Arabidopsis thaliana: one gene and its partners. The protein of the gene in region 1 interacts with the protein of each later gene in a pairwise test. Each region holds a gene or a part of one and is shown in the gene's direction. Other genes may lie near its edges.

Evidence for each region.
Region 2: the proteins of SCL5 (region 1) and AT5G67000 interact in binary tests that used the Arabidopsis thaliana proteins (3 or more experiments, as listed by UniProt).
Region 3: the proteins of SCL5 (region 1) and AT2G20350 interact in binary tests that used the Arabidopsis thaliana proteins (3 or more experiments, as listed by UniProt).

Annotation. Positions count from the first base shown.
Region 1 is NC_003070.9:18,735,819-18,742,046, reverse strand, and holds SCL5 (scarecrow-like 5), read left to right. Parts: upstream 1-2,397; 5' UTR 2,398-2,487; coding exon 2,488-2,701; intron 2,702-2,711; exon of another isoform or gene 2,712-2,873; intron 2,874-3,057; coding exon 3,058-4,649; 3' UTR 4,650-4,984; downstream 4,985-6,228. UniProt on the Arabidopsis thaliana protein: Probable transcription factor involved in plant development.
Region 2 is NC_003076.8:26,746,177-26,749,743, reverse strand, and holds AT5G67000 (Integrase-type DNA-binding superfamily protein), read left to right. Parts: upstream 1-2,462; 5' UTR 2,463-2,512; coding exon 2,513-3,067; downstream 3,068-3,567. Other genes in the region: AT5G67010 (Integrase-type DNA-binding superfamily protein), read left to right, coding at 128-422, 493-686.
Region 3 is NC_003071.7:8,782,425-8,785,947, forward strand, and holds AT2G20350 (Integrase-type DNA-binding superfamily protein), read left to right. Parts: upstream 1-2,344; coding exon 2,345-2,630; intron 2,631-2,781; coding exon 2,782-2,972; 3' UTR 2,973-3,023; downstream 3,024-3,523. Other genes in the region: AAS (Pyridoxal phosphate (PLP)-dependent transferases superfamily protein), read left to right, coding at 1-66.

The DNA of each region.
Region 1 (6,228 bases):
CCAAGAATAGACAAAGCAAAGTATTTAAATTTGCAAAATTGTGATTATTTTTTTTTGGATTTGTGGCATCTTAAGATTATTATTAGGTGAGAGAGTTCTTTGGATAACCATTCAATTATCTTGTTTTAACTTTTTAAGTTATATATACATGTAATCGTTGTTGTACTGATTTGTCATTTGCTTTAGTTCCAACCAAATTTATTTTTCTCTCTATATGAGAATTATTTTGGTATAACTGATTTTAAGAATCAGGCATAACTGGTGGATTGTTCTATATGATGATGATAATATCTGAACCAATTAAACAAGTAATGTGATATAACTCGGTAGAGTTTTAGAGATTTCTGTTTTATCACCAGTTACCCGTTAAAAACAAACAAACAACATGTTTTATAAATTAATCGACAAATATGGTCAGTCAAACTAGGAGTAAAACTTAGTAGTCTCTTAATTTTCTTTTCAAAATTCTAGTAATGAAATTATAAAGGATGACTTTGTTATTCCTAAATTATGTGACTGCGCACGATTAAGAGTTGTTATTTTCGGACAGTGTTACTCGAGGAAAGACATAAAAAAGACAAAAGACATAAACAATGATAAAATTAAACTTTATGGGGAGAAAATCAAATGTAAAAAAATGAAGAAAAAGAAAATGGAAGGTCAAAAAGTTGAATGCTGAAATTGTTCTTCTGAAAGAACGCGGAATTGGGTTAAAGAGCTTTAAAGTGTTGGTGGGCCGACACGATTGGTCGGCATGAAATCTTAAGGTGTGAACCTTTCAAGTACACATTTCTGCTGCTTATGCAGTGTCCATACTCCAATTTCGGTTCGTACTGGAAAACATACTAAAGTGGATGTATATTTGATAACAGTTTTTGTTTTTGTTTTTGAATACTAGTATTATATAAAAGAGATTTTTCCTAGTCTACTAATGTTTCAATCCAATCCATTGTAGTTATCAAACTAGTTATTTATGGGTATTCAAAGCTGATAATATGGTACTGCGGGGTAGTAGTATAATACTAAATAATTACTTACGAAATTAATAATGAAATGAGTAATTATAGAATGAATGCATATAATTAAGTGTTTTTTTTTCACAAAAGAAAGACGCCTGAATTTAATAATAAAGTGTATTAAATATTAATTCACATTTGTCGTAAATACGTGGATTGTAAAAGTGTATCAATCGTATGTATGTACCACTGGTTAAACAAATGTATGATGCATCAATAGTCAAACTAAAAAACTCGCTGATCTTTGAACACGAAGTTGAAAAAAAAGTCGAAAAAATCTCACTGATGTATGTAAAAAGAAAATATGTTGGTAAATAAAAGAAAAAATGGGAGGATAAAAAGGCAGGGAATAATCACAAACTTTTAGGCCTAAAAATGATAAGTGTTGGACCAACCCATGGCTTGCACGTTTGGTCTCATCTCGTTACTTTTGTTTTCGATCTCATCGATGTCTGCGTCTGTGCGGACCATTTTACCCTTGCCTTTTATTACTTCACTAAAAGATGAACACACGAATTATTTAGACATGCGGCACACAATTTTATTACGGTTAAGTTTACAGTTTTAAGGCGAAAATATATCGTTATGCTTTATGCTACATTAATTATGTATAGTAGTACTCCCTACCCAAAACAAAGTTACGTATAGTACTTTGATTGGCCATCGAGGACTCAAGGTTTACTAAATAGAAAGTAAAACAAAGAGATGTTTATTGCATTCGTCGTCCACACATAGAATAATCAATCATCATCATGATTTGTTTTACATTCTTAAGTTCTCGTAATTATTCGTTTCGTACGTTTTTTTAATTTTATTCCAAAGAATTTAACATTAATATTTTGAAGAACCATGTGCTACTAGCCTACTATTATACTCAATTGACAACAACCCATTTTATTTTGCTTTTGCTCGTGTTTCATTCATTTCGAACGATTGGATTTACATAAAATAGTCTATACACAAAGACAAAACAAAATCGCTTTTTTTTTTTTTTTTTTTTTCATTTTGTATACTATTATTGTGGAAAACGCAACATTTATATATCATACTATTGATCTTGCATGGTTCCATGAATTTTCTAGGTAAAAAAAGTGTGTTAATAGAACAAACAAAACTGTTAAAACATGTTGAATTACTTAATGCAATTTGACTCTGGTAAAACATGGTCAGCCACGACATTTCAACTACTCTCATTAACTCCCAAATGTTTCATCATTTAATATATGAAAATCATTATATAATACTCGTATGATTCAATTACTCAGATAATAGTGATGTAATGCATGACACTTGTTTTTGGAATTTTATTTTATTTCCAGTTATATATTACAGTTGTTTACTCGTCAGACTAATATTGACTGTTATTAGAAATAAAGGTACTTAATTCTTATTCTTTACGCGCTACAAAATAAGCAACAATGGCAAAACCGTAAAAATGAGTAGTCAAAGGGGTATTTGGTTTTAGAAAGAGATGAGGATAAAAATGAGGTTAAGCGTTTTTATTATTCCCCTGGTGGAAAGTAGGCAAGCAAGTGGTATCATCAACAAACAAAGCACTTCTCTTTTGATTCGATTCTCTCTTTACCTTGAAGCTTCAATATCAACCAAATCTTTTTTCTCAAAATCTCAAAGAATCTCTCAAACTCAGTCTCCTATCTGTCTCTCTGCAAACTATTACCAACCAGGTTAGATTCTTGATCTCAAAGTTTCCATCTTTTTATTTTATGTCGGTTGCTTTCGCTGAGTTCTGGTTTCTTTGATTTTCTTAGTTACAGAACACAACTTACTTTGTTTTTTGGTTTGGGCTGTGTTGAAAATTGAGCTTAGGGTTTTATGTAACAGTTGTCTTAGCTCATAGTTACGGTTAAAAAGCTCTCAACTTTGTCTCCCTAATGATAATTGAATTCAATCTTGTTTATGATTTTTCTCTATTGGGTCGATCTTTAACTGAATCTATCTACATAAAGATCCAACCGTTTTAAGAATCTTAGGGTTCTTATCATCTTGTTCAAAACTAAGATTCTGTTTTTTGGTGTGGCAGATAATTTAGATATGGAAGCTACTCAGAAACATATGATTCAAGAAGGATCTTCAATGTTTTACCATCAACCATCTTCAGTCAAACAAATGGACCTTTCTGTTCAGACATTTGATTCTTACTGCACACTTGAATCCTCTTCAGGCACCAAGTCTCATCCTTGTCTTAACAACAAAAACAACTCTTCTTCAACCACAAGCTTTTCCTCTAATGAAAGTCCCATTTCTCAAGCCAACAACAACAACTTATCAAGGTTTAACAATCATTCCCCTGAAGAAAACAATAACTCTCCCTTGAGCGGTTCTTCAGCGACAAACACCAACGAGACAGAGCTTAGTCTCATGCTTAAAGATTTGGAGACTGCAATGATGGAGCCTGATGTAGACAACAGCTATAACAATCAAGGCGGGTTTGGACAGCAGCATGGAGTTGTTTCTTCAGCTATGTATAGATCTATGGAGATGATCTCTAGGGGAGATTTAAAAGGAGTGCTCTATGAATGCGCAAAAGCTGTTGAAAACTATGATTTGGAAATGACTGATTGGTTGATCTCTCAGTTACAGCAAATGGTTTCTGTTTCTGGTGAGCCTGTTCAGCGCTTAGGAGCTTATATGCTTGAAGGTCTCGTTGCTAGGTTAGCTTCTTCGGGTAGCTCCATCTATAAAGCATTGAGATGCAAAGACCCAACGGGTCCTGAGCTTCTTACTTATATGCATATCTTGTATGAAGCCTGCCCTTATTTCAAATTCGGTTATGAATCTGCTAATGGAGCTATAGCTGAAGCTGTGAAGAACGAAAGTTTTGTGCACATTATCGATTTCCAGATTTCTCAAGGTGGTCAATGGGTGAGTTTGATCCGTGCTCTTGGTGCTAGACCTGGTGGACCTCCGAACGTTAGGATAACGGGAATTGATGATCCGAGATCATCGTTTGCTCGTCAAGGAGGACTTGAGTTAGTTGGACAAAGACTTGGGAAGCTAGCTGAAATGTGCGGTGTTCCGTTTGAGTTCCATGGAGCTGCTTTATGCTGCACGGAAGTCGAAATCGAGAAGCTAGGAGTTAGAAATGGAGAAGCGCTCGCGGTTAACTTCCCGCTTGTTCTTCACCACATGCCTGATGAGAGTGTAACTGTGGAGAATCACAGAGATAGATTGTTGAGATTGGTCAAACACTTGTCACCAAACGTTGTGACTCTGGTTGAGCAAGAAGCGAATACAAACACTGCGCCGTTTCTTCCCCGGTTTGTCGAGACAATGAACCATTACTTGGCAGTTTTCGAATCAATAGATGTGAAACTCGCTAGAGATCACAAGGAAAGGATCAATGTTGAGCAGCATTGTTTGGCTAGAGAGGTTGTGAATCTTATAGCTTGTGAAGGTGTTGAAAGAGAAGAGAGGCACGAGCCACTAGGGAAATGGAGGTCTCGGTTTCACATGGCGGGATTTAAACCGTATCCTTTGAGCTCGTATGTGAACGCAACAATCAAAGGATTGCTTGAGAGTTATTCAGAGAAGTATACACTTGAAGAAAGAGATGGAGCATTGTATTTAGGATGGAAGAATCAACCTCTTATCACTTCTTGTGCTTGGAGGTAACTAATAAAAACCTTGTTCGGTTTCAGAAGAGATTAGAAACTTCTTTTAAAGTTTGCAGAATCTGTTTGTAAAAGTAAAACTCATGCATGATCCGAAGGAACAAGTTGTCAAATGTTGTAGTAGTAAGTGATATGTTGATGACCCCATATATGTTTAAGGTTTATGTTTTTTTTTTTCTTTTCTCACAACAAACTATGATTTGACATCAAACTTATAACTCTCTGTTTATGATGTGATAAATTAATGATATATGGTTTTTTCTTGTCGTTTGTATTACGCACAAGGTTAGGAAAATTTGCAGATTTTTTTGAAGCAATATCATTAAGTTAATGTAGCACCAGACATCTAATTGACTAATCGAATGTCCTAAACAGTCAAACGTTTAACCAATTTTAAGGTGTTTAGAATAGTACTCAATTTTTCATTATAATGTATTGTTTTTTTTAATAATTTTTTAATTTTGTTTCATTATATTAAATGTTTTACAAGTTTGGATGCAAATATAAAATGTATTTGATATTTTGCAGCCACTTTTGTAATTGGTTGATTTTTTAAAAGTTAAATAATCGAACGTTAATGTACGTTTAAATGATGAACATACGAATAAATCAAAGTTATAACCAATTAGTTGTTTGATTAAACAATACTTGTAACAAAAACATACATGATCCCATTTGTAACCATCGTTTTAATGTTTTAGTTAAGAGATAATAAGAGAGAACCGGAATTCTTTTTTTGAAAATGTAGTTTGAAAAAGTGGTTAGAGATAATAAGAGAGAACTGGAATTGTTTTTTTGTACTTTGGTTAAAACTATGGTACGTTTGGAAATGAAACAAAGATAATCTTGAATTATTATACATTTGAATTATTGCGCCTTCTATGATCCGAAAGATAGCTGTTCAAACCACAGTTTTACCACATTTGGAAGCAGCGAAATAATGTTCCTCACAACAACACTATCTTGCCTCGACAAAGGAAGCATTTTGGAAACTTAATGCAACCTTGGATTAGATGATTTCACTTTTGTGTCTTTACATTTATTTGTTACCTTGTTTTTAATTTTGGCAAGGTCTCAAAAACTTTAGGTTTTATTTTGTGTAATTCCTAAACTTTTCATTTATAATGATATTTACAGTTATATCAAAAATATTCATTCTTATTTTCCCTTTAACTACATAATAACCAGAGAGCAGCTTTGGATATATAATGTCGGAAGGCATGCTCTTATGCTACTCCATTTCACATTAAGTCTATGCTTCGAAATTTATAGGAACGAAATGTTCCAATCTTTCATTGTCTTCCTCTATTATTTAAACCCAAAACCTCAAGCAATAAAAGCAGATTGTTTTCTTTGACTATACAAAATAATAAAATTTAAATCCTACAAAAAAAGAAGAAAATAAAAAGCTAAAAAGAACTAATGTTTCACATAGTTTGTAATATATTATTTCGACTATTTACGTTCAATCGTCTGTTTCAATTCATTCGTTCGATTGGTAACTAATGATACGGTTCAACTCACAAGCATATCAAACTAGATACCAAACAAACCTGAGTTCAGTTTTGCTACAACTATGA
Region 2 (3,567 bases), on another chromosome or scaffold:
TTAGATATTGGCTGCCAGGTAGGCTTCACCTTCCTACTATATAGATTGTTTTCAAATCTTCATGACAACACTTTTGATCCTTCGCATTCACTAAATAAGTACATATTATCAGTTTGACACCAAAAAAATGGATTATTCAGAAAATGTTCAAAACAAAAATTTCACCCCTATTTCACAACCTCCTAACTTGACAAGAGACCAAGAACATGCTATCATGGTTTCTACTTTGCGACAAGTGATATCCAACACTGGAGGTGATACGTCATCATCTCACTACATTGCTGCAAGTGAGGCTCTTCCACCTTCGGACGCTGGCCCTTGTCCTCTTTGCGGCGTCACCAGTTGCTACGGGTGCGCATTCCCACAGCATGAAGAGATTAAGCAGGAGAAGAAGCATAAAGGAGTGAGGAAGAAGCCATCAGGTAAGTAAATTTTGTTCCAACATCTTTGAGTTTGTTCCATCGGTTTATAACTTTACTAAGTTATTATCAGGAAAATGGTCGGCGGAAATATGGGATCCGAGTACAAGAACAAGGAGGTGGCTTGGAACGTTTCCGACGGCAGAGATGGCAGCGGATGCTTACGATGAGGCAGCGGCTGCGCTTGTCGAAAAAAGATCAGCGAGACGTGGCTCAAAGAAGGGAGAAGGAAGCATTCACCAAGAAGTCGGCGGCGGAGATGACTGAGAAATTAAGCTATATAACTATATATCGTTTTATAGGGGGAAAAATAGATGTTTTGGGAGAAATTAATACATTACCTAGATGGGTTATATGTTTTACGAGAAACCACTTGCGTGTGTTTTTTTTTTAATAAGAGGTTTTCAAATTAAAGTTTTGATGGAAAAAAAGTTAGATAGAGCCCAAAAAGTTTTGAGTAAAAGACCTCTATTTTATTGGAGAGTCTTCTCCTCTGTAGTGGCCTTTAACATTTGCATTGTGGTGTGCTTTATCATTGTTTTTGCTTGTTTTGTGTTGATGATTACCTCTGTTTGTGGAAGAGTATTCTCGTTCTGTTTCTTAATGGCACTTTATTGAGGCAGATACTCAACCAGAAGGTAGAAACTCTGATGATGGAGTCGATCACTAATTTTCTGGATTTAGTCCGAGGATCTAAACTAGTTGCATGTATAGTCTGTGATTATATTCTATCCAAATCACATAGAGAGAAACCTTCTAAGCTATAAGAGTTTCTTCTCTGAGTTTTGGAACCATTTGCAGAAGATGATCCTTATACGGCTTACTACTAAAACGTTTTTGTATTTACGGTTTCTCAAATGTAAAATACTTGTATTTCAATATAAAAACTAGATATACTCGTGCATACATACAAAACTAAGTGATAATTGGAATTCTGGTCTATCCCATTTTTTTGGTTAATTTTTAGTACAGAACAAATATGTACTTTGACTAACTTCTAAAACGACAATATTCCAAACTGAAAAAATTTCTACAGAATGGAGTTATTATCAAATAAATATAAAAATACAAGTTAAGCCTGTTAAGAAACATTCATATATGTAAATTTATCAATTTGAAAAAATAATATATATATATATATATATATATATATCAATTTGGTAGGGAAGTTAAACTTGAGTACTATATGCATTAGTGCACAGCAATGAGAAGTCAGCGTTTATTTTAGTCTACTTGATTCTCTCTATTGAATAATCGGCTCGAAACTATATGATTGATCAAATTCAGTAGGATTTTAGCTCATGAAGCAACTTCTCGGCCGCGTGTATTACATAATGCATGAGAAAGTCTCGTTGAGACCCACATGTATATTCGAAACGTGCTCCTTTAAGAGAATGACGCGGCGTGTATTACATACTGTATGAAACTGACAGAATAATTAAGTGATTGAGAACGAATGAAAAATAAAAGATTGAAATAAGTGTAATGCAAAATTGCAAATATAATCTTATAAAAAACTTTGATATTTATTTACAAAACATTAATATAACATTTGTTTTTAACGTCTTTTTAAAAAATCCCATATAGTATATATTTTTATATATTATACATATTATTTCTTTATTTAATAACAACACAGTATTTAACTTTTAAATATCATAGAATTCAAAATTTGATAAATACGTGCGGCTTTTAATTTCTTGATTCGAACATGTCAAAACAATTAGTGAATTTGATTAAAGAGTTATACTATTACGTTATCTTATCAAATTCAAACTCGCATTATAGTCTGCAATTCACTCAAAATATTTTTAAATCAACTAATATAAAAAGTGTTTTCCACTATTTTTTTTTTTTTTTTAAACATGATCGAGCGAAACATTTTGACCTTTTTTCTTTTTTTTTTCTTGGGTCAAACGAGTATGATCGTCTTTTTGTAAATTTTTTTCCGCATACATACAAAGGTAGCCTTTCCGTTTTTATAATCACATTCATGTGACTAATAATTTAGACGAATGGTAGCAAAATGTCAGGCCACATAAACGCTAAAAAAAGCATCACAGTTATGTTTCCATTCATTGGCTATAAAAACCATGCTCACTCCCTTTTGTTCTTCACACCATTTGCAGGAAAAAATGAATAGTTGTCAGTCTAATCCCACCAAAATGGATAATTCAGAAAATGTTCTATTTAATGATCAAAACGAAAATTTCACACTTGTTGCACCACACCCTTCTTCTTCGTACTTGACAAGAGATCAAGAGCACGAGATCATGGTCTCTGCTCTGCGACAAGTGATATCTAACTCCGGAGCTGACGACGCGTCATCATCAAACTTGATCATCACAAGCGTTCCGCCTCCAGACGCTGGCCCTTGTCCTCTCTGTGGCGTCGCCGGTTGCTACGGCTGCACATTACAACGGCCGCACCGAGAGGTAAAGAAGGAGAAGAAATACAAAGGAGTAAGGAAAAAACCATCGGGTAAATGGGCGGCGGAGATATGGGATCCGAGATCGAAATCAAGGAGGTGGCTTGGAACGTTTCTTACGGCGGAGATGGCGGCACAATCTTACAATGATGCGGCGGCTGAGTATCGAGCAAGACGTGGTAAAACAAACGGAGAAGGAATTAAACGGCGGTGGAGATGACTGAGAAGGACATGGTCGGTGATCATACACGGCGAGGTGGAAATGTTATATTTACTATTGAAAACTAAATTATTTATTATAGAGGGAGATATTACTCTTTACGCTTTCATTAAGATTTATTTTTATAAGTTTTAAAGTATTTTATTGTTATATGAAGATAAAATATATTATTTATTTATATTTTATTTTATAATAAGATATTATTTTTTATTTTTTTTTATTATTTTATTTTTATTCTCTGTGCTATATATACTCTGAAAGTCTGAATATATAATCCATTTTGGTGTGGGAGTATTAGACTATTAATTATGGTCAATTAAATGAAGTTCAAAAATATGAATGGAAGATATATGAATAAATTGAATTAATAGATGTTTATAATTATTGAGACTGCTTTAGCGTAGAAAATGCTGCATACATTATTGTTGGGAAAATAAAAATGAGTATTAATATTTAACATAAATATTAAATGTCTTTAATATGTGTGAGAGAATTATTAA
Region 3 (3,523 bases), on another chromosome or scaffold:
GAGAAGCACGTTAAGGAGGCGTGGAAGATTATTCAGGAAGAAGCATCTTACTTGCTTCACAAGTAAATATGATAAAACAGTAAAAGAATAAAACGGTTTTTGCCAACAAAACGAAGCACTTCGGTTTGGTTTGGTTTAATTTGATAATATAATAATAAAACAGAAAATTGCTTAAGTAAGACTTATCAACTTCGGTTTGATTTCGGTACACTTTAGTAAGGTGATCTTTCTTGTGTGTATTTTATCCTCTATTTTTTTTTTTTACCAATTGTGTGTATTTTATCTATTTGGTTTGGGTTTATTTTGTGGTTAATTAATGTAAGCAATGATAATAAAATGTTCTATTTTATTGTTAGACGTATTTTATACCATGCGATAAAATAAAAGACAAATCAACTTATAAGTTACACTTTTTTTTTTTTGGTAAGGGATTTAAAGTTACACTATTAATCGCATGTTTCATTTTTTTAGGGTGAATGTAGCCGTCAAATTACTTATTCACCACGTTTTCTAGTGGGGTTCGACGGATTAACTGGAATAATTTAGTAAATTTTACGTTTGAAATGATTCGATCCATATATTAAACCTACAAAAAATTTCTCCTCAGTGAAAACCACTACCGCTTGGTTGCTTTTTTAAAAAAAAAAATCTTGTATAAACAATTTCATAGGTAAAATTGAAGCGATCGATACAGAAATCGCTAAGAACAAAGCATGAATATTTTGTCATCTATAAATGACTTGCTCAAGAAGACCAATACCATACAGAGCTTTTATTTGAGACATAAAGAAAGTTTATGATATATAGAAACGAAAAGGAGATGATGGTATGCAACAACCACTATATATACAAAGAACCTCATCAATAGTAATTTGTAGGGTTTCTTGTTTTTTGTCGTATCCTCGTATCCGAGTCCAATCTGTGTATTCCGCTTCGAAAACTCTTTTTGTGTTGGTTTCTTATTTAGTCAATGATATAGTATTCTAGAAAGTCAAGATCACACATGTGAAGTCAAGAGCAAAAAGGAATGCACGTGTGTGTTTTGAGCTGGCAACTTGACATTGACGGTGATCATTATTAACGTTTACTTTCTTTACCTTTTAGTATAAAAAGCAACATGTTATGTTCATGCTTTCTTATGCGAATAATCTGGTTGTATTTTATTTCTAGAGACTTCTAGATTTCCCTCATCGTTTTACCGAAGCTCTTTCGTCGAGACTCTTGTAGGTGAGAAGTTGATATCGCGTTTTATGAACGTTATATCAAATTATCGTAATAGGAATACTCTGTTTCGGTTCTCTGCATTTTTACTTTGTTTTACTCATTATTCTGTTTACGTTATCATCAGTGAAACATGAAATTGAAAGCAATTAACTGTCTCATTTTAGTTAACTAAATTTGTCTTGAACTGTATATAATTAAATCAAAGAAAAAAAATACAAAATATGAAAGTGATGACCGGGGATATTCAAAGGGAGACTCTCATAACAACTTGGTATATGAATAAAGACTTAAAGCACTGGAATATGAGTACCTTGTTTCCTTAATTATTGACTCACTGTTTGTACAGAAACCAAAACCAGCACTGCAAATGAAATATATCTTAACAGAACAGAAATAACCCCCAAAAATATTTCAAAAAGCTCGAAAACATATGGTTCCATTTTGTATAGCGTTGCACAATGTAATGCTAAATCAAAAGAGTAGATTAGATATATAAGATAGAAAAAAAAAAGAGCAAAAAGGATAGAACAAAGTATTATAGATAGAATGTCATTGGGCAAAATTAATCCAAGGACTGATACATACAAGTATACAACCATCGTATTAACCTATGAAAAAGTATTGCAAAATATAAAATGATTTTTAAAACAATGAAATTACACCTATCCAATTGTTACGAATGAAACTCAACTTTTAAACACTAAAAAAATGTGTATATTTGCAGTCCAGATTACAAAATAAACCATTATATAATAGGATCCAACTGTATTTTGACTTAAATAAGGTAGTTGAAAATATCTTGACTAAGAAGTATATTTGGTTTACTCGGTGTCAAGACTAATAATAATTAGTAAGTAGTGTATCGAATAAATATAGCAATCGCTTTTGCAGAAAATAAATATCTACTGAACAGATGTATCGTTCTCAAAGGAAAAAAACAACACTAATTGGTGCCGCGTATCTAAAGATTTGCATGGGACCATATGTCTAGTAGTCTAGTACCATATAAACCTTTTTTTGCTTACTCGTCAGTAGTTTCTTTTGAAATCTTCACAACACTTTCAACACTTCTCAGTGACCGTGAGCAACGAATTATTTTCAGTTCAACGACTCCGCGGAAATGGAAAATTCAGAAAATGTTCCCTCTTACGATCAAAACATCAATTTCACTCCTAATTTGACGAGAGATCAAGAACATGTGATCATGGTCTCTGCTTTGCAACAAGTAATATCCAACGTCGGAGGTGACACGAACTCGAATGCATGGGAAGCTGATCTTCCACCTTTGAACGCTGGCCCTTGTCCTCTTTGTAGTGTCACCGGCTGCTACGGTTGCGTCTTCCCACGACACGAGGCGATAATTAAGAAGGAGAAGAAGCACAAAGGAGTGAGGAAAAAACCATCAGGTAAGTTCTATTCTAATACAAGCTTTGAGTTTTTCTAGTACTAGCTAGTTTTAGTTCATGTATTTTCATATATATATAAGCCACGAGCCCATGAGGTAAACTATGTTCCAATACGTTAGCATGCAGTTGATGTACTTTCATAAACCATCAGGTAAATGGGCGGCGGAGATATGGGATCCGAGTTTGAAAGTAAGGAGATGGCTTGGAACGTTTCCAACAGCGGAGATGGCGGCTAAGGCTTACAACGATGCGGCGGCTGAGTTTGTCGGAAGAAGATCAGCAAGACGTGGCACAAAGAACGGAGAGGAAGCATCTACCAAGAAGACGACTGAGAAAAATTAACGGAGAAGGAGCACGTATAGAAAGGCAGGAAGAGGCATCTTACTTGCTTCACAAGTAAATCAGAATTTTTTTGAAAAGTAAAAACGTTATTTTGTTTGGTAATAAAATAAAGTAAAACAAAATATTGCTAACGCAAGACTTATCAAGTTCAGTCGTGACTGTGAGTGTGTTTTTATGTATCTTACTTCATTTTTTGTCTTTCAATTGTGTGTGTGTGTGTGTTTTTTTTTTTTTTTATAATCTATTTGGTTTGGGTTTATTGTGACCAATGACAAGAAAAGTCTATATTTTATAGTTAGACGTATTATATATATCATGAGATAATATACAAGCAAACACAATTGTAAGCATATATAAAAATCAATCAAGTTGTTATGATATTTATGATAACTTTAAACTTTGATTAACAAGAAAGGTAATCCAATAGTAATATTTGTCATACGGTGCCGTTTCACTAATAAATGGGCTTACGTAATACGGACCAACACAAAGTGACGTGGTTTCATTTTAAAGGTGTTACTTATCGTCGCCAATGAGATATTGTCAAGGCC